Coturnix japonica: one gene and its partners. The protein of the gene in region 3 binds, or shares a complex with, the protein of the main gene of each other region. Links are inferred from orthologs where the notes say so. Each region holds a gene or a part of one and is shown on either strand. Other genes may lie near its edges. The genes, in order: LAMTOR3, FLCN and LAMTOR5.

What was found.
Region 1: LAMTOR5 (region 3) and LAMTOR3 share a complex: the UniProt entries of both Homo sapiens proteins name them as parts of the ragulator complex. The link is inferred for Coturnix japonica from reciprocal best matches to the Homo sapiens genes LAMTOR5 and LAMTOR3.
Region 2: LAMTOR5 (region 3) and FLCN share a complex: the UniProt entries of both Homo sapiens proteins name them as parts of the lysosomal folliculin complex. The link is inferred for Coturnix japonica from reciprocal best matches to the Homo sapiens genes LAMTOR5 and FLCN.

Annotation. Positions count from the first base shown.
Region 1 is NC_029519.1:54,081,231-54,088,712, reverse strand, and holds LAMTOR3 (ragulator complex protein LAMTOR3), read left to right. Parts: upstream 1-3,566; 5' UTR 3,567-3,680; intron 3,681-3,816; 5' UTR 3,817-3,855; coding exon 3,856-3,864; intron 3,865-3,943; coding exon 3,944-3,978; intron 3,979-4,146; coding exon 4,147-4,205; intron 4,206-4,695; coding exon 4,696-4,829; intron 4,830-5,447; coding exon 5,448-5,511; intron 5,512-5,806; coding exon 5,807-5,880; 3' UTR 5,881-6,637; downstream 6,638-7,482. Other genes in the region: DNAJB14 (dnaJ homolog subfamily B member 14), read left to right, coding at 890-1,062, 2,115-2,239. UniProt on the Homo sapiens protein: As part of the Ragulator complex it is involved in amino acid sensing and activation of mTORC1, a signaling complex promoting cell growth in response to growth factors, energy levels, and amino acids.
Region 2 is NC_029529.1:4,764,202-4,771,530, forward strand, and holds the start of FLCN (folliculin), read right to left. Parts: upstream 4,241-7,329; 5' UTR 3,975-4,240; intron 3,307-3,974; 5' UTR 3,276-3,306; coding exon 3,027-3,275; intron 2,265-3,026; coding exon 2,118-2,264; intron 1,618-2,117; coding exon 1,396-1,617; intron 849-1,395; coding exon 688-848; intron 114-687; coding exon 22-113; intron 1-21. UniProt on the Homo sapiens protein: Multi-functional protein, involved in both the cellular response to amino acid availability and in the regulation of glycolysis.
Region 3 is NC_029541.1:1,786,568-1,793,887, forward strand, and holds LAMTOR5 (ragulator complex protein LAMTOR5), read right to left. Parts: upstream 4,804-7,320; 5' UTR 4,704-4,803; coding exon 4,669-4,703; intron 4,558-4,668; coding exon 4,496-4,557; intron 2,927-4,495; coding exon 2,809-2,926; intron 2,380-2,808; coding exon 2,319-2,379; 3' UTR 2,032-2,318; downstream 1-2,031. Other genes in the region: SLC16A4 (monocarboxylate transporter 5), read right to left, coding at 141-244, 693-1,053; PROK1 (prokineticin-1), read left to right, coding at 7,162-7,233. UniProt on the Homo sapiens protein: As part of the Ragulator complex it is involved in amino acid sensing and activation of mTORC1, a signaling complex promoting cell growth in response to growth factors, energy levels, and amino acids.

The DNA of each region.
Region 1 (7,482 bases), on a different chromosome or scaffold from region 3:
ATCCTGAAAACTGCTGAGGCTCATTATTCTTTTAGGGGTCATCTGTGCTTATAGCAAGCAATGTGCTTGAAGAATGCTTTCTCTTTCTTGTTCAAGTTTTGAACTAGATAAGGGCTAGAGAAACTGTCTGTCCCAGGTGATGATAAAATAGTACATCCCAGTTTTCTCTCAGAGGATTCTGATAGAGAAATTTAACTGAATTTAACTGAAGGATGTGTATGGCTTTTTTCTTAAAGAAAGTACCTTGTGAAGATACCAAGCGTGCAGTTTGCTAGCAGACTCAATCCACACACAGCTGTTTAATGGTCCTCAGTTCCTCCTAGAGTTCTCCCCCTCACTACAAAAGGCTTCTTTTCTCCTTTATAGCTCTTTATTTGCAGAATATGATGTTCTCTGCATCTAAGCTATTACGATGCGTATTAATGCTTACCTGCCAATCTGTTTATGGGCAGTCCTTGATTTGTGATCCACAGAATGCCAGCAGGAAAATGGATTTGTCATGGATTGCAGTAGACAAATAGGAATGGAGATGCCTGTATTGGGTTGTCTCCTGGTTTTTGTTGGCTTCTTTTTCTGTTGAGTTGGAATGAAATTTTCTATTACCAAAGCTTACTATTTGGTAAGCTTTACTATATGGCTAAAGGGGTATGAAATAAGACTTACTAAACAAGTTATTTTCAAGACCAAGGATGAAAACACCAACATTGTGATGCTTGGGGAAAGGTGGTCGTTTTCTTCTCTGGAGGATGACACGACCATTCATTTCAGCATTTAGCTTGAAATGGCAAATTCAGTGCTGTGCTGGTAATAGCGATATGTTTTAAAAGTGAATTTGTGGTATAAAAACATGTAATATCTGTTCTGTCCCTGCCTCCTTTTTCTTTGGCAGAAGTACAAGGCAGACCATTAAAATGCAGACAGAAAATCTGGGTGTTGTTTATTATGTCAACAAGGACTTTCAAAATGAATATAAAGGAGCGTCATTACAGAAGGTGGAAAAGAGTGTGGAAGAGGATTATGTGTCCAACATTCGGAACAACTGCTGGAAGGAGAGGCAGCAAAGTAAGCCTGGTCATTTCATGAAATAATGCATTATTCCATATTTAAAGGAAAAAAAAGGATTATCTCCATCAAGAATGGAGCTTGTATTGTTCATATATCTGGAGAAGAAAACAAGGTGAAAGGTTCCCTACTGTTTCTCACTTGTAGAGGTGTCCCAGCTAGCGTCACCTAATAGTGTGGACCAAGAAGAGAAGTTTACATTTAGTGACCTAGCTATTATACAGAGATGTTACTGGGATATGGTATTTGTGTTTCCTCTTGTATTTCTCTTATATATATATATATATATATATATATATATATATATATATAAAGTCCTTGACGATGCAAAGCGGCCCTACCTTTCCATATGTAAATACATAATAGGAAAGATATGATGACTGGAGAAGCATCTGACTCTAATGTAAAGAACAGCAACTGCGTGAAAGTGGTGACTGTCACATTGTTTTCTGTTTGCAATTTACCAGACAGTGATAATTACCCAAAATGATGTAAAAGAAAGCAACCCCAATAGATTGTCTCTATTTATAGAAACAAGTGACATTTATTTTTACAGATTTAAAATACTTATTGTGTTTGGAAATTTTTGACAGCTAGAATCTTCTTTCCAGTGTTGATTGACACTCTGGAACGAATTAAAATGCAGAGCAATGTCAAGCTGTTGAACATCAGTATAATACAGAGAGCTCCTAATAATAGCTATGAACGCTGGCAATCTGAAGCAGCATCTATTGAAGTAATAGGCTTAACATTCAGAATGAATTGTGGGGCACAGGCAAGATGCTAGTTCTGTAATTGGGTGCTGCTGCATGAAGTGTGAGGGTGCTGGAAGGTTATTACTGTGACTGCTAGAAAAGATGACGTGCTTGTGGAGACAGTGAAAGGAAGCCTGTAGTGCTGCTGTTACATGATATCTGTGGGTAGTTAGAGAGAAAAAGGGTGAGGATTAAACCCGAGTTGTTGTGGACTGCTCTGAGAAGGAATGCACAGCATGTACAGAGCATTCAGTTTTAAACCTGAAAAGTGTTTTCTCTTTTTCTTTTCTCATAAAGAAACAGATTTACTTCATGTATCGAAAGTTTATCGAGATGACCGTCTCCGAAAGAAAGCAGACTCCATGTCCATGGAAAACTGCAAAGAACTCGAACGTTTGACCAGCCTCTATCGAGGAGGATGAACTGCTTTCGTATGCATCTCTCCTGTAAATTAAGAAGAGATTTAGTTTCACCGTGAATGCTGGAAAAGAGGGTGGATGTAAAACTCTACTGTGTAGCTGTTTCCAGAAACCTTAAGCTGAAATATCATGTAACGGCTTCTTTACCTACTGTGAAATATAGGTAACTTTAATTGTCTAGATTTTACTTCGAAGCTTCTGTGAATTCTTTCAGCAGAGAGAATAGCTTAGAAAGGATGCTATACTTGTAGAAACTTAGTCATAGTGGTTCTCCTCTAACATATTTGCCATGTAAATATCTGTGGAAAGAACATTTTGTGTATATACGAGTTAAATGACTTTCTATTTAAAACCTCAGAAGTTTAGTTCCATACAACATTTTGTCTCACCGATGGAATAAATAGAGTCTGGTTACATCACTCCAATTCAGATGTCGAGCGTGTGGAGTTGGAACGAGGATTTGTAATGTTTTATCTCTATGTAACATCTTCTAGGCCCGCCAGCTTAGAGGAACTGGGTATTTTTAAATATAACAGCATATATTCCTAATGGTCTGCTGGGCTGCGTTCATCTGGTGTAGCACAGCAGTCAGTTGTTGTGGTTATTTTAGTGTTTCTAAGCCATGCTGAGAAAACTGAAGGACTGCACTCAGCTCTTTGCCTGGTGACTGTTGTATGCAGGTTCTGTACTGACCATGGTAAGCATTGCATCTAGTGCTCGTGGCAGCTGTACTGACCATGGTAAGCATTGCTCTTAGTGCTCATGGCAGCTGTACTGACCATGGTAAGCATTGCTCTTAGTGCTCGTGGCAGCTGACGGTAGCTCTCTCATTTGGTATCCAGTGCTATAGTAAATCCATACGTATGGCTAACATGCATAGAGCTTCCTTAATTGTCACTGGGAAGACAGAAGAAAACGTGAAGGGAAAAAAAAAACAACAACTTATTTATTTTTTTCCTGGGAAACTTCCATTTTCCTGCTGTGTTTTGATTTGGAGATAGATCCTGATGGTGACTTGTCAATGGGCACCACAGGTGGAACAGAGACATCCAGCTGAGCCTTGTGCCTGTCAGTTCTTTGGCCGGTTGTTTCAGTGCTCACTGCTCGTGCTGCTGTGCTCAGAGCCGCGTCACTTGTTCAGGGCTGGAGGTAGAGGTGGTTGGGGTGTTGCAGGTCCGTTTATTTGGGCCTGAATGCTGCAGGATTGACGTGGAAATGATCAAACACACTGTGCGGCTCCTCCATCCAGCACCACGTACCTCAGTGAGTTACTCCGGACCCGCAGGTGGCGCTGTGTCCCGGCGCCGGGCGGTGCCGTCGCCCCGCTGCCGTCCCGCAGTGCGCACGCTCGGCAGCGCCGGGCCCAATGATCCGTGCCGAGTGAGGAGGCGCTTCGCGTCGTGTCAGCTGACGGGACTAAGGGAAGTGCGGCCGGGGCGGTCAGGTACGGCAGGGCCGCCAAGGGGGATCGGCCACAGCCCGCTCTGCTGCCGCGGCGGGGCGGGAGGAAGAGGCCCTGCCCGGCCCTGCCCTCCTCCGCTCCGTGTGCCGCCGCTGAGCGGGCGCCTCTCGTCCCGTAGGGCCGCCGAAGGGGCAGCAGCGCCGCGAGGCCTCCAGCCATGGCCGATGTAAGCGGGGCGGGGCGGTTGGGCTGCGGGGGGCCGGGATGCGCTGCGGGTCGTGTCACGGCGCTGTCTGTTCCCGCAGGACCTGAAGAGGTTCCTCTACAAGAAGCTGCCCAGGTAACAGTTGCTCCATTCGCATCTCCCCCTCCGCCTTGTGCCGCTCTGAGCCCGCCCTGCCGCTTCCTTTCACGTGCCTGCCCCGTGCGCGGCTGTTGGTGGCGGTGGGTCAGTAGATGAGTCATATGCAGCAGCTGTGCCCTTTGTAATTATCGCTTCCTTCTGCAGCGTCGAAGGTCTCCACGCTATTGTGGTGTCGGACAGAGACGGGGTGCCTGTCATCAAAGGTAACGGCAGTGTGCAGCATCCAGTGTGCAGCATCCAGCTGTGTGTGTGCTAATTCCTCCTGGGTTTGGTACCGTCATTTCTAGCCCATCTCAGTCCTCCTTCAGGATCCCTCTGCGGTGCAGGTGAACTGGTTTAAGCACAGCAAGGTTCGGTGTTGCTATTTGGTGGTGTTTCTTAGTGGTTCATAGTACTTATGCAGCCAGCTGGACATGCACATCTCCATCCGCCTCCCCTCTGGTGGCTGTTTGGCAGCAGTCAGTTCCCAGAGCGTGTCCCACAGCACTGTATGTGGGATGTGAACTGGAGTGCTGTGCTGTGGTCACAGGTCACCTGCAAGGCATTAAACAATCTGCTGCCCTTGAAGACTGTGCTTGTTGTGAAGGCACAGGCGATGTCTTATGTGTTTCTGACACCACGTAGCTTTTGGGTTTGTTTGTGATGCAGTCATTGATACCATGTTAAAGCAAAAACTTTCTTGTTCTGCCCCAGTTGCCAATGATAACGCACCAGAACACGCCCTACGACCCGGCTTTCTGTCCACGTTTGCCCTTGCAACGGATCAGGGCAGTAAGCTGGGACTTTCCAAGAACAAAAGCATCATCTGTTACTACAACACATACCAGGTGAGTGACCGCAGCCTGGGGCCGGAGCTCCTCGTGTGTTACCATGAGCATCATGGGAGAGAACATGGTGGAAACTCTGCTTGATTTCCACTTGGCTCTTGGTGCTTTAATTCCCTTGTTAAAGCTGGCTAAGCTACATTCTTGCGCTTTATTGAACTCTTAAATGCTTCTCAAGGCTGAGAAGGCTGGCGGGTTGAAGTTGGTCGAGTTTTCTGTGCAGCTGGCGACCAAGCACCAGCAGGTGGTGCTGCTGATGTGCCTTCAGACTGCCACGAAGGGCTTATGTTCTTTTTGCATAGGGTATTTGTTTATTACTAACACAGATAAACGAGCACGTGCAGCTCACTTAACAATTAATATTGCTGTTAGAAGGACTTCAAGGTAAGAAAACGCTGAAATATCTACTTGCCGTTCTTACAAGCTGGATATTTGCACTGTGAGTTTTTTGTTACCTACCCAGTGTCTGCTCATAAGCCTGCCTGCCCACTTGATACCTATATAAAGGAGCTTCCACAGAGCACTCAGCTTCCTGCACTGTGCTGCCAGCTTCATTAGCACGTTTATCTGTGGCACCCACTGTGTGTTGGCTGAGGGGTAAACTGCTTCTCTCTCTTGCAGGTGGTGCAGTTCAATCGCTTACCTTTGGTAGTGAGCTTCATTGCCAGCAGCAATGCTAATACCGGTACGTCTCCAGGTGGCTTTAAATGTTTGCAGTATTTTAAGCCCCGAATGTTTTAAATATTTGAAAGTAAATAGAGTTTTCTTCAAGGTGCATTAACTTTTCTCCTTAATGTGTCGGAATATACTGAAAAGTTGGGAGATGCACAGGTAAAGACCCATAGATTCTGGGTGACCTGCTGAGGTTATGATTCCATTAGAAATGCTATGGAAAACCATTCCTGAGACTTGGAAGCTTTTGTAAGAGTGCTTCTCTGGTTTGTTGTTTGATGGATGTTGCGTCTCTTGTCTCTTCCTAGGGCTGATTGTAAGTTTGGAGAAGGAGCTCACGCCCTTGTTTGAAGAACTAAGGCAGGTTGTTGAAGTTTCTTAACCTGATGGTACAGTCAGAGCGCAGCGTCCATCTGCAGCCCCATGGACAGGAAGATTGAATAATCCTCAGTCCAGTAACACGTCTCAGAAGATATATCACAGCTCCTTAGTACACTAAGTAAAAGTAAATTGTACATAGTGCTGAATCTGAAATGATCTGCTGGTGTGTTGTAGGCGGATGTTACTTTAGACCACGCTTCTTGTGTAGTGCAGTGTTGGAGACCACCAAATAACTCCCATGGAGTTTAGCTCAGCCAACTTAACCACGTTAGCACAGTGCTCTTGGCTCAGGTGAGCAGCCCACAGACCTTTTGCTTTACTGAGCACCAGGCATACAGTGGGGTTTATCCCCAGACTGGCTACCACAGCTGGTAACAGATGGATTGGTGTTAGCAAAGATGTGGCTGAAGGAGCATCGTGAGAGCATGGTTGCTAGCAGCAATGTATCAGTACAATCAATCAATATCCTGTCTTGTTGGCGATGCTTCGGTCAAAGAATCTGACTAATGTGGGTGTTGGCTGCATCCTGCTTTCACCGAGATTGCTTTTTCTATGAGCTGTTGCTTTAGGGGTTTTCCTGATGCCCACAGGAAAGCACACGAACCATGTTTCGCTTCGTGGGGTTTTTGTGTAACACAATTGTGAAGTTCTCATGCCTTGTAGTCTTTGTGTGGATTCATCACGGGTGACACTCAGCTCATTTACCCCTAGGTTTTCCTAAGTAAATAAATATAAATAAAATGTATTTTTAAATGACAGAACCTGGTCCACTCCTCTGTTGCACCACAATGTAGCACCATTTCTGTGCAGAGAATGGGTTTCTTCATCACTTGTAAGCTAATAGAAGCCAGGAGCTCACAGGTAAACAGCCCCAAGGCATCCGTGTGGGTGCTTGTGGCAAACATCATTCCTGTTCCATCCAGGGAGAATCTCTTGCTGTTGTTTCCTGCTCAACCTGCCCAGTGCCCTTGCCCTAAATGCTTCCTAAGCCAACTGAGTGCTGACTCTTGCTGGCTTCCATCTGTGGCATCACGCACTGAGCTTGTTTCTGATGTTTTGTAATGTGTGAAGAGGAAGGTTGCTTCTGTGGTTGCACTTGGAGCTTCATTCTCAAGATGTTGGCACAGGAGAGCAATGGTATGAGAGAACATCACATCTTTCTTCTAATGCTGCCCTTATTGCATGCCGAGTTATATCAGTGCTTTATAACTAAGTTGGAGATGCAAGTTGTTCATTGACTCTTAAGGCAGAAAGGAGGACTAATGTATCTTGCAAAGCTTTAACGATACACTACAGAATTACAGAAGACCTTTGTTAGTTTTATAATGACATTTTATTCAGAAAACAGTGTATAAAAATATTTACAAATATTTTGAATTAGAAGTTGAAATAAAACGCTATTCCTGTCCAGAGCTGGATTTTCCTTCTACTTTGTTGTTCTACTATGTTTCTACTCCCTTTCCTCTTCAGCTTTCTCACAGTAAAGGCATCTACTGAACACTGAGCTGCTGCTGCTGCTGCACGATGTCCAGGGAAGAAGGTTTGCTTCATCAGATGTGACTGTTACAGAGCGGGATCTCCCTGCTCAGCCCAGCTCTCCCAG
Region 2 (7,329 bases), on a different chromosome or scaffold from region 3:
CTCTGGAAACTCTGGCCTCACCTGCAAGTTTTTCCATCTGAACAAGGGTGTCTTCAGTTGGAGCTCCCTCCAGAAGTTTCTCTGTAAGCCGGCTGCCACAAGCTTTCAGAAGCCTGGAGACATTGAAAAACAGGTGGAAGCAGTAAGCAGGCTTAATGAATGCCAAGCAACAAAACAGAGAAAGAAACTTGGTGTAACAAAACATTCAACCATTTACCAGTACGTGTTCCTTATCCACACGCCTACATGTTCCTTTGTCCTAACTACCAGTGTTCTAATTGCTCAGTCACTGCAAGGCCTACCATTTTGCAATTACCTTGTGCAATATGCTTATCCCCCACCCAAGTCACATGCCAGCACTGCATCCCTCTCTGTGGCATCTTTCCAGGGAATTCTGATGACACACTGAGGGGTGGGAGTGTCTTTCCTTGCATTTCTCCTTCCTTTTCCTCGTACTTCAGTTTTCCCATCAATAGTCACATAAGGAGATTTACTTCACTGCAATAAGAACTATTTCTGCCTTAAAGCCATCACGAGGCCTTCCGTGCTCAGCTCCTTCCAATTCAGAGACTTCTTAGCAAAGTCCAGCTTACTACATCAAGAAAAACAACCCAAACATTTCCACCCTTTCAAAATAAGGCAATATTTTCTTTGTGTTCCAGAAGCCAGAAACACAAGTGATATTACCAAGCGAAAGAAGTGTGCAAACATGCCCACAGGTTCTCATCGTTGGTCAGGGATGTTAAGGAACGGGCTGCGTTGCCATTGCGCTGGTGCAGGAAGGGGGTGAATGCTGTGTTCATCCGCTGAGCACGCTGAGGGCACCCAAACTGCTCAGCTTCAAACACCTGCAGCACAGACAGTGGACAGTGTAACAGTCTTATAAAAGGCTGATAGAAAACTAAAATCACCAAAACGCTAAGGAACACCCACAACAGAAAGAGGTGCATCAAACACAGTCATTCAAATACACTAAATAATGAGGGAAGGTAAAATACCTTATTCTTAGATTGATTAACATTATCATTAAGTAAAACATCAGCTCTCAAAACTTTGTCCTTCACTACTTTGGGTACTTAAATTCTAACAGAGCTATTGTGTGGCAGTTTGGAGCCTGAAAGGCATCACAAATGGCTTAAAAGAACAAAGGTGGCCTCTCTCCTATAGACCCAGATACACACAGCCCTTTTACTCCTTGTATCAACCTTAAACTGATTGCAGTGAGCCAGAGCAGCTTTTGGATTAAGATGCAGAAAGCTACCAAAAGGCTGTACTAATATTACTATACTAGTAATAGGTGAACGGTTGGACTGGATGATCTTTTAGGTCTTTTCCAACCTTGGTGATTCTATGATTCTATAATGCTGAGCCAAAAGGACTCACTCACTGACCCACCTTAAGTGCTTTGCCCTGAAGTTCATCGATGATGCCTCTGATTTTTCCCAGCAAGAAAGGCCATGAGTTGATGAGGTAAATCCGGTCCATCATGATAGTGATGATGCTGTACCAGCGCTGGAAGCCTCGGGCCAGGCTGTCTTTGATAAAGAAGGTGTGGCTGAACACAAAACCATGCTGTTCATCTCCAAAAAATATAGGCCCTTCACGTCCTGGGCAGACCTGAATGGGGGGGACATACAGACCAAAGAAGCTCAGCTGGAAGAGCAATGAACTGTATAACAAAAGCTTGCTGCTATTTAACAGACATCTGATGAATAAAACAATTTTTTTTAAGGCTGCTATCTAAAACCTGTGGTCAAACAAACATAATAAAGCCTTCAATTTATCTTTATTTTACAGATTTTGCTCAGTTCAGCTACAACACTGTGGAGAAATCACAAGGAATTCCTGATGCTGGCACACAAACACTAGTCTGTAAAGCTCTCCATTTATATGAGACACTGAACGTCAGCAGTTTATAAAGACCAATTATTTCTCAATACAAAGCAATAGATGCCAACATTTTTACACAAATAATTTATCAGTTTATATTAAAAACACAAACAATAAATGCACAGGAGTGAAAATAAGAGAACTTTCACATCTCAGAAGTCAAGAGGAAAAGCATCCCCAAGGTAAGGCCCTAAGCAGGATTTCTTCCTGTACTCCTAAAGAGTTACCTCACAACTCAGACTGCGAACGCAGGCCTGGCGCACAATGCTGAACAGCTGGGGGTGGTTTGGGTGCTGGTGACTGACATACTTGATCGAAGTCTCCTTGTCGTGGCTGACAAACCCAGGATGTCCTCCTGCAAGAGAGCGGCAACCCTGAAGACAGAAAAGCAAATCCAAGCATAAACGAACATGCAGATTTCAAAGGTTTCCAGCTGCCTTTGCGTTTTCCCTTCTAAACGTAGGGTAGCATTATTTACACATATAAACTCAAGTATTCAGAATGCAAGCAGTTTGAGTCAGGGTGAGCACTTAAACTCAGATCCTTTCTATGCCAGTTTTCCACTGCTGAATTTGATTGTGCATTTGATGGTGATGGCTCTGCAAGCAGTACAAGTCAGTTCATAGCACCTGTGAAAGCAACTGGCCAACAAAAGCACTGGCCATAACCTAAAGGCAAGTAAATAACAAGTAGCTCAGATCAAGTGCTAATAGTAGCCACACAAAGGAAAAACTAAAAACACAGTTTTTTCTCTAGTTTTAGGAGCTTTAAGGTTGGTTTTGGTTTTTTTTTTCCTGTTCCCTATTTGATGTTGCTGCTAAATATTGCTATTAATCAATGGTAGAACCTGGTCTAATGAAGCAGAAACCTTTGGAGGCCAAGGGAAGCGTCTCTCAGACACATGAAAATCACACGCAGGGCTTAAAAAGACCTTAACAGAGAAACTTGCTTTGTCAGTTTGCTTAATAACATTTCCTTCAACTTCTGTTGTGGGTCACTGCAGTTTATAAGGACTTTTTTAGTACTGTCAGTTATATGAAAGCACAGGGGTAGTTCATGTGTTCATCAGATAACCCAAGAGCCCTTTAGTCAAGCAAAGAAACACTGATGTTCTGTGTACAGCTATTCACACTTACCTCACACATGTCTGACTTCTTTGGCCCTGGGCTGCTGGAATCAGCGCTGGCACCTTCAGCTGGGCTGTGCGAGCGGATCCTGCTGCTCATCTGGATGCCGCCTTCCTCCTCTTCCGCCTGCTCATTCTGCCCAGTGATATCCCCGCTGCTGGCACCTTGAGGAAGCGGTGAATGTAGAACCTCAGTGCAAAAGAGGGTGCGGGGACCGTGGAGCTCACAAAAATGGCAGAGAGCAACAATAGCATTCATAGCGAGAGCTCAGCACATCCGTCAGGGTCTCCTGCAGGTGAGTGAAAAAACACATAGCATCAATATACAAACTGGCACAAGAACTGCTGTTAGAATTGCTGTTACAACACCCCATGGGCCTGTCAGGTGTGAATGCTGATCTGTGTCTTTCCAAGAGCTGCTCAGTTGGGGTGTCCAGCACAGTTCCACCCTGGGCTGTGCTCATACCTTCACAGGACAGGCCCAGAGCAGCACAATCACTCAGCACCTGGGCACCTCAGACCGTGTCAGGATGGGGCTGTGCCGGCCCAGTGCTGTGTCAGCCATCCTTAAGGATCTCCATGCAAGCGTTTCTCAGCCAAACCGATGGCACAGCACAGAGAAGGGCCCTCAGAGGCCACCAGCCCCACCCGTGCCGTGTGCTGCCTGCCCAGGGCCCAACTACGGCCTGGGACAGCTCCATGGCGGGCACACGGCGGCTCCTCACCGCCCTCAGTACGAAGCATTTCCCCTCGTATCTAATCTAACCGTCCCCTTTCAGCCCGAAGCCGTTTCCCCCCGTTCTAACGCTGCATCCTACAGGCCCGGCCCGGCGCTGTGTGTCCACCCCCGGTCCCCACGCAGCCACACGGTCGGTCCCGGTCCCGGTCCCGCTCAGTGCCCGCTCCCCCACTGCCCGGCCCACCCCCCGCTCCCCCAGCCCCGTTCCCGTCCTCTCACCGCTCCGGGCTCCCGCCCCGGCCCGTCCCGTGGCTGCGGGCAGCTGACACACGCTGACCGCCGGGCCGTACCATCCTACCGGGCCGCGGGGGGGGGGTGCTGGGGATGCGGGCAGGCAGCTCCCCGCTGATCAGCCGCCCAAGGAGCGGCGAGGAGCGGGATGAGGCTGCAGAGGGATCGGGACGGGGATGCAGCTGGTGGCCGGACAGCAGGGGGCTGCCCGCCTCCACACACAGCTCCCGGCGCACTCCTCCCCCCCCGCGGCAGCGGCAATGACCGCGACCCGCAGCCGCCCAGTCACGGGACTGGGAGCAACCACTGCTGGGAGCGCGGGGGGGTGAGACGAGACGGGGCGATTAAAGGCAGCCAGCAGCGCTGCTAATTAATACAGCACCGCTAATTAATACAGCACCACCACTTGCAGCAAAGGCCTGATTCAATTTCCATGTAACCTCAGAGCCAGTGCTGGGCAAGGACAGCAGCACAATAAGAACAAAAGCACCCCCCAATAAAGAACAACACCTAGAGATGAAGGCAAACACCAAAGCTCTACCATCTCGTTCCTTCAGGCCAAGCATTTAAAGACAAACTAAGAGCGGGCTGGTTTGTGACCTTTATTTTCCAATAGTACATTGAAACAACTGCTCAGGACGAACCTCGTCGGCTGCTGTGGCCATGCAGAAACATCTCCTACGTTACACAACACAACACACACGGTGGGGCGCAGTTGTACTGCCCAGAAGTGCCTCCAAGTACAAGTGTTGCCTACAAGGCAACCTGGGTTATGCAGAAGCACTTGGTGCGATGGCAGCACTATGGATGTTCACAAGGGGCAGTACGCACGGCTCCCATGTGGCACAGACATACAAGGGGGGCTGCTACACGGATTCCAGCCTTTTTTTCTTTAAAAACAACCAAAAAAACCTCTGCATCGTTATATTACCAGCTAAGAGTGAAGTAGAGACCCCTCCTGTGGCTAAGAGCTGTAGTTGCAAGACAAGGGCTCCCTCCAGAGCTGCACTTTCTCTTTGCAAATGATGGCGCATTGAACTATGATATCAAAGCATGATAGCAGATATCAAAGCATGATAGCAGATATCAAAGCATGATAGCAGATATCAAAGCATGCTCAGAGCAGCAGAGCACACAGTGTTGTTACGTTTGGATCTACAGTCCTTCCTTGCAATAAATACAAATTAAAAGCAGAAAGCTCAAGTGTTCTCAATGCGTCTCAGCTCACCGCAGCCCCATGCAGTTAGTTCCAAGACTTGAAGGAGCTTCTTCATTTAAAAGCTCTGACTTGGTTTCATCAGTATCTCAGGACATGCAGATGCCAGACCTGAAGCATTTAGTCAAACCATTGCTCAAAAGCCTTTTCCCAAAGCACTTTTGGTGAATACTTCAGACTTTGGGACCTGACTTCAGATTTTCCACCAGCAAGTAACAAAGTGCCTCCTTAAAAAGCAGATCAAGAACAATAGTGCGATATATTGTTTGAAAATACTACACAGATCTGTCTGCCAGCCCTCCTGATGTGCAGTATAGGTTTATTTTATCTATGTCAGGAAAAGAAACAAAGCAAACACAGCTTCTATTTGCCAGGTACGTCTATTAATTTGCTTGTAATTCCACAGACATAAGGGCATTCAGCCCTCAGCAGAACGTTCGTGCTTACTAATAGGAACCAGCAATACAAAAAGCTCAGCTACTGCAGAGAGAACATTTCTGGTTCTTCTCAGGCTTCACAAATGCACTGTGCATACATTCCCCTTTGGCAATGAGGTGAACCATCACCATTTCTATGTGGCAGTCTGGATTTGCAGTGCTTTACTGCACACAACTGTAAACATTCCCATAACCCTGCTTTGTGCCTGAGCCCACAGCGCAGCTCATCGGGTATTGAACACAGAACCAGAGCAAAAAGTTACATGAGCGTTTTTAGGACTGAAATCACTGCGGGATTAACTAGAGGGAAAAAAAACCTCAAACATTAAAAAACATAAATATATTTAATGACAAGACCAGTAAGGCGTGTTTAGGTGTAAAATTTGCCTTTAAATATGGAAGTTGCTGATAGGAAGCACAAATTCTCAATGGTGAACAACTAACACTGTGGACTTATGCTGTGTTCACTGCTAAATTGCTATTTTATGCTTTTAAATACTTCATTTGGCACCTAGAGAATAACCCTGGGCAGAGTTGTCTCCTAGAAAGCAAACTACCACCACACAGCCTCTGCTAGAATCAAGAGACCAGCTTTAAATGAAAACCCCAACAGTTCTGTATCTGCACTGGAAGCACAAAATGGGTTATTTTCAACCACAGGTGACCTCAATACAGACAAGTTTAACATGGCAAGAGCCAGAAATGCTTAGCTCCCACTTTGACACCTGATAAAAGCTGGCAGGTTAGCAGCAGCAAGCAGCTCCTATTCAGATGTTTAAGCAGGAAGCAGTAGGTGCTGAGCTTCACATATTCTGCCTTGATGACAGGTTTATGTATGCCTGATAGTAGGAGATTTGCACTGATGTGAAGGATCTCAAAGGTGTTTGAACAGGCAGAATCTTCAGATACATGAGAGCTACAGGAAAATAAAAATCCCATTGATTTAAGAAGTGAAACCCTTAAAGAAGCCAACAAAAAGTGAATTAATAACTAGATGCCATTCCAGCAAATTAGTTCCAAATGAAATTGTTTTTTTATGAGTTGTATAGGGCTCCATAATGAAGAATCATATTTAGAAACAAAGAAAGGATCTATAGCACAGCCTTCATTTAGAACTGATTTCCACCACAGAAAAACAGTAGTGTGTTGAATACCTTCGTGCTGATTGTATAGGAACAAAAACTTAAACTTCTTTCAGCGTGAACAACTTCATATCCAGCATCTTCCAGAACACCCAGGTCTTCCGATTATCCTTGTTTAGGCCTAGTAAATTTGATCCAAGAGCAAACATTATTAGGAAGTATTTTGTACCAGAAGTTTAAGATTATCAACAGCTCTCACGTATGGTTTCCCTAAAGCAACTTCTGCTCTTCACCAAAGTCACCTACCGAGGCTTTAATACCTTTCGAGAAGAACATGGTTCTCATTTCATCATTTGAGACAGCAGCCAACTACACTACGTATATGCAAATTATGATGTAGAGAAGCTCCACCCCTCTCCCCCCACCATACACATGTCTGCAGTTTGAGCCAAATTTAAATACAAAACGAACCAGTAATTATCTTGTAAATGAACCAAAGCTAGCTCGCATTCTTCCCTGAATAACACTTTTTTTTCCTGCAGAGGAGGAAAAAGGACTGCTACAGAAACACAGCAACATTCAAAACCTTTAAAACAAAAGGTAGATTA
Region 3 (7,320 bases):
TGCCTGTCCTCCTGTAGCAAAGCACTCGCTGCCTCTGAGCCTTCCCCTAATTCTCTGCCATTAGTTGAATAGGATCAGCCCATCCGGAGACTTCCCACACTCCCCATCTTACAAAGGTTTGGGGGTGAATTCGTGCTTACCAGGAAGAAGTGCAGCACCGCTGCCCATGCCCACATTCTGTCCGTGCCTTGGCTCCCATCTCCCATCACTGCTGCTGGCTCTGCCTTTCCTTCTTTCCTTTCCCCTGGGAATGAGAATTCAGGGTATATTAACTCCACAGCACCAAAGATGCCCCCGGTCCTTCTGTTTGGTGGCGCAGTCTCACTGCTTGCCTTCAGCTCACTTTCTTTTCCCCTTCCTAAATAGCTCAAGGCGTGTAATTAAGCACTTTCCTTTAGAGCACAGGGTTGGTTTGTGCTGAAAGCCTGGGCTCTGCCCATCCCATCTTTGAGCTCCTGGGGAGGTTTTTCCTGCCCACCTCCTTCCCATTCTATCCCATACTTCCAGCAGCAGCCGAGCCAACAAACCCGACCCCTTCCTTACCGCCGTGCTGCTGCTGCATGCTGCCAAACCTTCCCCAAAACAGCAGAACGCAAAGAGGAATCTCCTCGTCATTTGCTCCAGTGGTGAAGTTCCCCCCTCTCACCCCCCCTCCTCTGCTTGTGACCCTCTGCCCCCCAGCCTGGCCCTACGTCCGTGTCCGGCAGAGATGACGACCAATGCAAAACCGAGGCAGGACTTTGTGTTAGGATCCTTCCTCCTCCTTTCCCTGCTGCTCCAGGCCAGGAGTCCCTCCCCTTCCCCTATGGCAGAGCATGATTCCTTTATGGAGGAAACTGTGCCGTCTCCTGGGGTCCGACCGAGGCTCCGTGTCCAGCTGATGGATGGAAGCCAGAGCTGCTGGTGGCCACCCAGCCCTACAGGAGGAGATGACAGCAGTACTGTAATAGGGTAATGCTGTGGGGTCGGGGGGGCTGGCTGTCCCATCCCTGCTTTACTCCCTTCTTGCTGTGGGATCCGGGAGCGGATATCCTGGGGTAAACAGAACAGCATAGAGAAACTTCCCTTACAGTTGGGCATCCAGCACATGCGCTGAGCTTTTATATAGGTGGGACAGTGTTTGCAATGTGTGCTATGAGAGCTTGGGGTGCACAGGGTGCAGGGGGGGAGGTGGCAGCATCTGAGACCATCCCTGTGTATCCAGCAGCCCTAATAATGAGGGCAGTGATCCCAGGGCTTGTTAATGGGAGAGCTGAGTGCTCACAGCCCTTTAACTTTTGCTCTTATAGGAGCCCATGGCTATTTATTGGGGCTATTTAAAATGGGCGTCTGCACTCTGTTTTGAGGAGATGAGCTTGGAAACTGAGCATTAAAGAAAATAAAGGGGAGGTAAATGATGGGCATGATGTAGCACTGCTCACCTCCATTAGCACCAACCTCACCATGAGAGCGCTGTGCAGAGCAGCCCATCCTTAGAGCCTGCTACATACATAACAGTGATGGTGAGGTCAGGAATGTCTGTTTTACACAGTGAATGCAGTTTTAGCTCCAACCCTGCCCTATCTGTTGGTCTATGCTCTGCAGTGAAGCCTCCTTTCTGCTCCACGTATGAGGCCAGCTCCTGTCTGCTCCCTTGTGCTGCGGAAGCATTCGAGCAAAGCAGCTTTTCAGGGCCTTTCTATGGGATTGTTCTGCCCAGTTCCAAATGCTCAAACCTCTAAAGGGAAGAGAGGATTCGCGGGGATGTCATCAGCATCCGTTCACAGTTCACACGAGGGCCAACAAGTTGAGGTTTGAACTTCAATCCGAAGCATAATAATAAGCTGCTCTCACTGAAAGCTTAACCAGAGGAGGCTAAACATTTCCTAGGAGAATAGAGAACTATTTGTATCTCTTCTACTGGAGGGACCTCCAAGTCTTGGTCCCTTTTCTCTGCAGCAATGCCAATGAAGAATCAGACTGGGAGAAGTCCCTCCAATTGGCTTTAGGGAAAGCAATGGGCTTTCACAGTAGGATCAAAGAGAAGCAACAGTTTTTGCAGGTCATTTATTGATTTCTCCAACAAATAAGGCCACGCACACACACACACACCTTGTAGTATCTATCATTACACAAGCTTGGTGAGTGACTCACGTCTTTAACAGCACGACTGCTAAAACGTGAGCTGGAAACCCTGATAGATGCATAGGAGCTGGTAAGTAGAGAGGGAGAGCCTTCAGCCCAGATTTGGTACTAGAAGCGTGTTCTGCATTGGAACAGCCAAGGAGAATGAGGAGGAGCTGGTCTGGAGCAGGGAATGGAGCATCAGGATGCCACGGTCAGGATGCCAACTTGTGCACTGCTACGGTGATGCTGTCATGCTTCTGGATCATGATGTTCCTAGAGCAAGGAAAGTGCTGTCAGAGGAAGGTGAGAAACCAGCTGGGAGAGCAGGAGCTGACTTGGCTGGGAAACCAGATGGGCAGCTCAGTGCCAGACCTGTCAGCTGTTCCCACAAAGGGGGATGATGGAGTCCTGCTGACCAAAACGACACTACAGCATGGGCTAAATAATCCATGGGGATCCAAAAAGCAAAAGAAATACAGTGCTGCAGCAACCACCAGCCCCTGAAAGGCTTCCAGCTGCTTCTGCAGTTCCCAAAGCCTGAGGTCCCATGAATCTGACTTCTTTTCATACCCCCCTCCCAACACAGCTTCAGCAATGGGGCTTCCTCCAGCTCTGCCAGTGAAATAGAAGATGGAGAGCTCTGCTCTGGAGATTTGGGGTGGGGAAAAAGGGAAGAGCAGCAGCCTTGGGCTGGATGCTCACCCACTGTCTGACTCCAGGCACACCACAGGAGTGTCGGTTGGGTCGGAGGTGAGCTTGGCTGCCTGCTGGGCCAGCACAGAGATGACTCCAGCATGTTCATCTGAGAGCGTTCCTCGGCCTGCAAGAGGGGAGATGTGGGTTGAACTCACGCACACCGTGATGGGAGGCAGCTCCCCATCCCCACTTCCTTCCCTTATTGCTGTAAGCTGATGTAGTACCTCCCCAGATCAAAGAATCACATGAGTTGGTAGGGACATATAAAGGCCATCAGCCCAACCCCCCTGCAATGAACAGGGACACCCATAGCTCCAGCAGATGCTCACAGCCCCCATCCCTGACTTCCAGTGTCTCCAGGGCCAGAGCACCCACATCTAGCTAGGGGCAACCTGTGCTGGTGCTTCTATGGGAGTCCATTGGGGTTCTATGGGGGGGTCCATAAGGGGTTCTATGCGGGGTCCACAGGGGCTCTACAGGGGGTCCACAGGGGTTTCTATGGAGGGTCATAAGGGTTCTATGGGGGGGGGGTCCCAAAGGGGGTCCATAGGGGTTCTATGGGGGGTCCACAGGGGTTCTATGCAGGGGGGTCCACAGGGGTTCTATGCAGGGGGGTCCACAGGGGTTCTATGGGGGGGGTCCAAGGGGTTCTATGGGGGGGTTCTTTGGGGGTATGCATCCAGACACGCATTGCGATGCGTGAGTTTCTATGGGGGGTTCTATGGGGGTTCCAATACGGGGTTCTATGGGGGGGTAATAGGGGTTCGTAATGGGGGGTCCACAGGGATTCTATGGGTCTGGGGTTCTATGTGGGGGGGTCACAGGGGTTCTACTGGGGGTGGGGTCCACAGGGGTTCTATGGGGGGGGTTCTATGGGGTGTCCACAGGGGTTCTATGGGGGGTCCATAGGGGTTCTATGGGGGGGTCAATAGGGTTCTATGGGGGGGTCCATAGGGTTATATGGGGGGGGTCCATAGGGTTATATGGGGAGGGGGTCCATAGGGGTTTCTACTGGGTGGGGTCCCAAAGGGGTTCTATGCCAGGGGGGCACAGGGTTTCTAAGGGGGGGGGGGGGGGGTTTTTTTTTTTTATCTATGGGGGTCATAGGGGTTCTAATGGGGGGTCACCAAGGGGTTCTATCCAGGGGGGTCCACAGGGGTTCTGTGGTTTGGGGGGGGGTTCTAATGAGGGGGTCCACAGGGGTTTCTATGGGGGGTGTCGCACAGTGGTTATATGGTGGACAGGAAGTTCTATACGGGGTCCATAGGGGTCTTATACTGGGGGGGTCATAGGGGGTTTACTAGGGGGGTCCATAGGGGTTCTACGCGGGGGGGTCCACAGGGGTTCTATGCGGGACAGGGATTCTATAGGGGTCCATAGGGGTTCTATGAGGGTCCACAGGGGGTCCATAGGGGTTCTATGGGGGGTCCATAAGGGTTCTATGGGGGACAGGGGTTCTATGCGGGGTCCACAGGGGTCCTATAGGGGGGTCCATAGGGGTTCTATGCGGGGGGGTCCACAGGGGTTCTATGGGGGACAGGGGTTCTATAGGGGTCCATAGGGGTCCTATGGGGGGGGTCCATAGGGGTCCATAGGGGGTCCATAGGGGCTCTATGGGGGTCTATAGGGGCTCTATGTGTGTCCCCATGCCCACCCCTAACCCAGGCCCTGCCCTGGTCGCTCCCATACTCACACCCCAGGTTGAGGCCTTGCGAGTCGGTGCACAGGACTCCCACCACGGCCGGGTTCTTCATGCTGCGGGAGAAGCGGCGGTCAGCCCGGCCTACACCCAGCCCCCAGCCCGCGGCCTTGCCTTCCTTCCCCCCCCCAGCCCCTCGGTCCCGCCGCCCCCATCCCGGTCCGTACGTGTCCTCCAGGTGCTGCTCCAGGCTCCCCTCCATGCCGCCCCCCTGTCGCCTTCACTTCCGCCCTTCTCGGCGGCTCCTGGCAGCTGCGTCGGTCATGTGATGCACGCTACGGTGGCTCCGCAGGGCCAAAAAGCGAAGCCAATGTACGGGAACCGCCCTGAGCAGCACCGGTATGTTCCCATTGGGCAACCACTGGTCAACCATTGGTCAACCATTGGTCAACTAGTAGTCAACCACTGGTCAACTGCTGGTCAACCATTGGTCAACCACTAGCCAACCACCGGTCAACTGCTGGTCAACCATTGGTCAACCATTGGTCAATCATTGGTCAACCATTGGTCAACTGCTGGTCAACCACTGGTCAACCATTGGTCAACCACTGTTAACCACTAGTCAACTGTTGGTCAACTGCTGGTCAACCATTGTCAACCACTGGTCAACTGCTGGTCAACCACTGGTCAACCATTAATCAATCATTGGTCAGCCACTAGTCAACCACCGGTCAACCGCTGGTCAACCATTGGTCAACCACTGGTCAACCACTGGTCAACTGTTGGTCAACCATTGGTCAACCACTGGTCAACCATTGGTCAACTGCTGGTCAACCATTGGTCAACTAGTAGTCAGCCACTAGTCAACTGCTGGTCAACCATTAGCCAACCACAAGTCAACTGCTGGGCAAGCACTGGTCAACCAGAAGCCAACCACTAGTCAACAGCTGGTCAACCATTGGTTAACCATTAGTCAACCACTGGTCAATGAGGACCTACAGGTACCACTAAGTCCAACTCCCTCCACCCAACCCCTATGGTTTTGGGTGCCCCTGCCCTGTGGAGCTGTGCCATGCCCACCTCCCTCTGGTGCTCAGCCTTTTCCTAACACCCATCCTGTCCATCCCAACACAGCTCCATACCTTTCTTTATGCCCTGTATTTGTCCCCAAAGAGCTGTAAGGGCCCCACACCCACTCCCACAGAGGACGTGGGGCTGTAGTGTTGTATCACAGCCATTCGTGCCCTGCTTTCAGTGTGCAGGAGGTGATGGATGGCAGAGCCATCAGAGCCTGAGACTGATGGCTGAAACGCATCCAGCTCAGCCCTGGCAATGGATCTTATCATGTCAGGCTGGAAAATTAAAATGTTATTGATGGGGGAAGTGAAATGCAGTGGTGATTTTTCTTAGTTTTATTTCTCTTTCAATTTTTTTCCCCTTCTTGATTGAGTTGGAATCGTCACCAGTCACTCCAATCCCATTGCATCCCCCCCATACTGGATATCCTGCCTGTCCCAGAGCTCCATTTTGGGTTATTTTCACCCTCCTTTGTGGGGGGGAACACAGGAATAAGATACAGCTGTGCCCTATTAAGGTTGAATCCCCCCCATACATACACACACAGGGACCCCAGAATCCCAGCTGATGGCCCATTCCCTGCAGTGAGGCTTTAGGACGGAGGAATTTCTGAGGACTGGGAGAAATTAATTCAAGACCAGGTGGAGACTTCAGCAAAGCAGGAGAACAGCTGCCACTTCAAAGGGGACGCTGGCCTTTGGAGGGGGAAATAGCCGGGCTATTTTTAGGCAATTAAATAGATAATTTAACATGGGATTGATGCTGTGCAAGAGAAATTCTGCTGTCAGAGACAGCAGGAAGCAAAGCTGTTCTGCTGTTTGGCAGCCTGGATGTTACAGGGATGGTGCCTTGAAGTCCAGGGCTGGAGAGATTCCATTCAGTGGGTCAATATCAGTAATGCTCCTTCAATAGAGACTTACTTCGAGCCCTTGTGTAAAGGAGCATTGCCACCTCCTGGGCACACATGGCACTGGGCAATGGGAACCCAGGCTGGGCCATGGGAGCACAGGACAAGCACCAGCCACAGCTGTGTATTTCTATGGATTCATGAAGCTTTCTCCATGCAGAGCTCTGTCCCTCACACCCTCCCACAATGTGTAAATAAAAGCAGATGCTGACGGTTCATCCTCTCCTGTTTTTAAGCTCTAGCAATCCCTGCTCTTGTTTCCATGTGCTCCCAACAGACGCTCCAGATTCAATCAGACCCATAGAGAGGGGGGACACACTCAGGATATCCCACTATCCTATGAAGCACCAATTGAGTCATTTACACATCATGTACCATCCACGACGGCCCTTTATATCTATCTCCTTTTAGCTCCAGAACTGCTAATTCTCAATCTGATCCTCAGCTACACCTGTCAGGGATAAATATGCACCAGCCCAACAAATCCAGCTGTGTTAGCTGAGCTGAGAAATAACCCTGGGATATGGATGGGGGCGGGATGGCTGCTCTGTGAGTATTCCACCCCCCCTTCCTCGCTGGGAAAAGAATATTTCTTTCCTACTATTAACGATGCAGGTCTCATCTGCTTGCTCTGATTGGGAGGTTAAAAACAACCCAATAACCCACCCAGGCTGGAGGGGAGGGCAGGGGGGTATATAGGGCCGGGGTGCAGGCGGTGCAGGCAGACAACAGCACCATGAGGTGGCTGCTGCAGACCCTCTGCCTGCTGCTGCTGCTGCCCTCCCACCATGGAGCTGTGATCACAGGGGTAAGTGCAGCCTCAGCACTCAGCATTTGGGGTCATTTTATGGCTGGTTTTATTTGGAGATAAGGCACCAATGGTGCTCAGCATCCC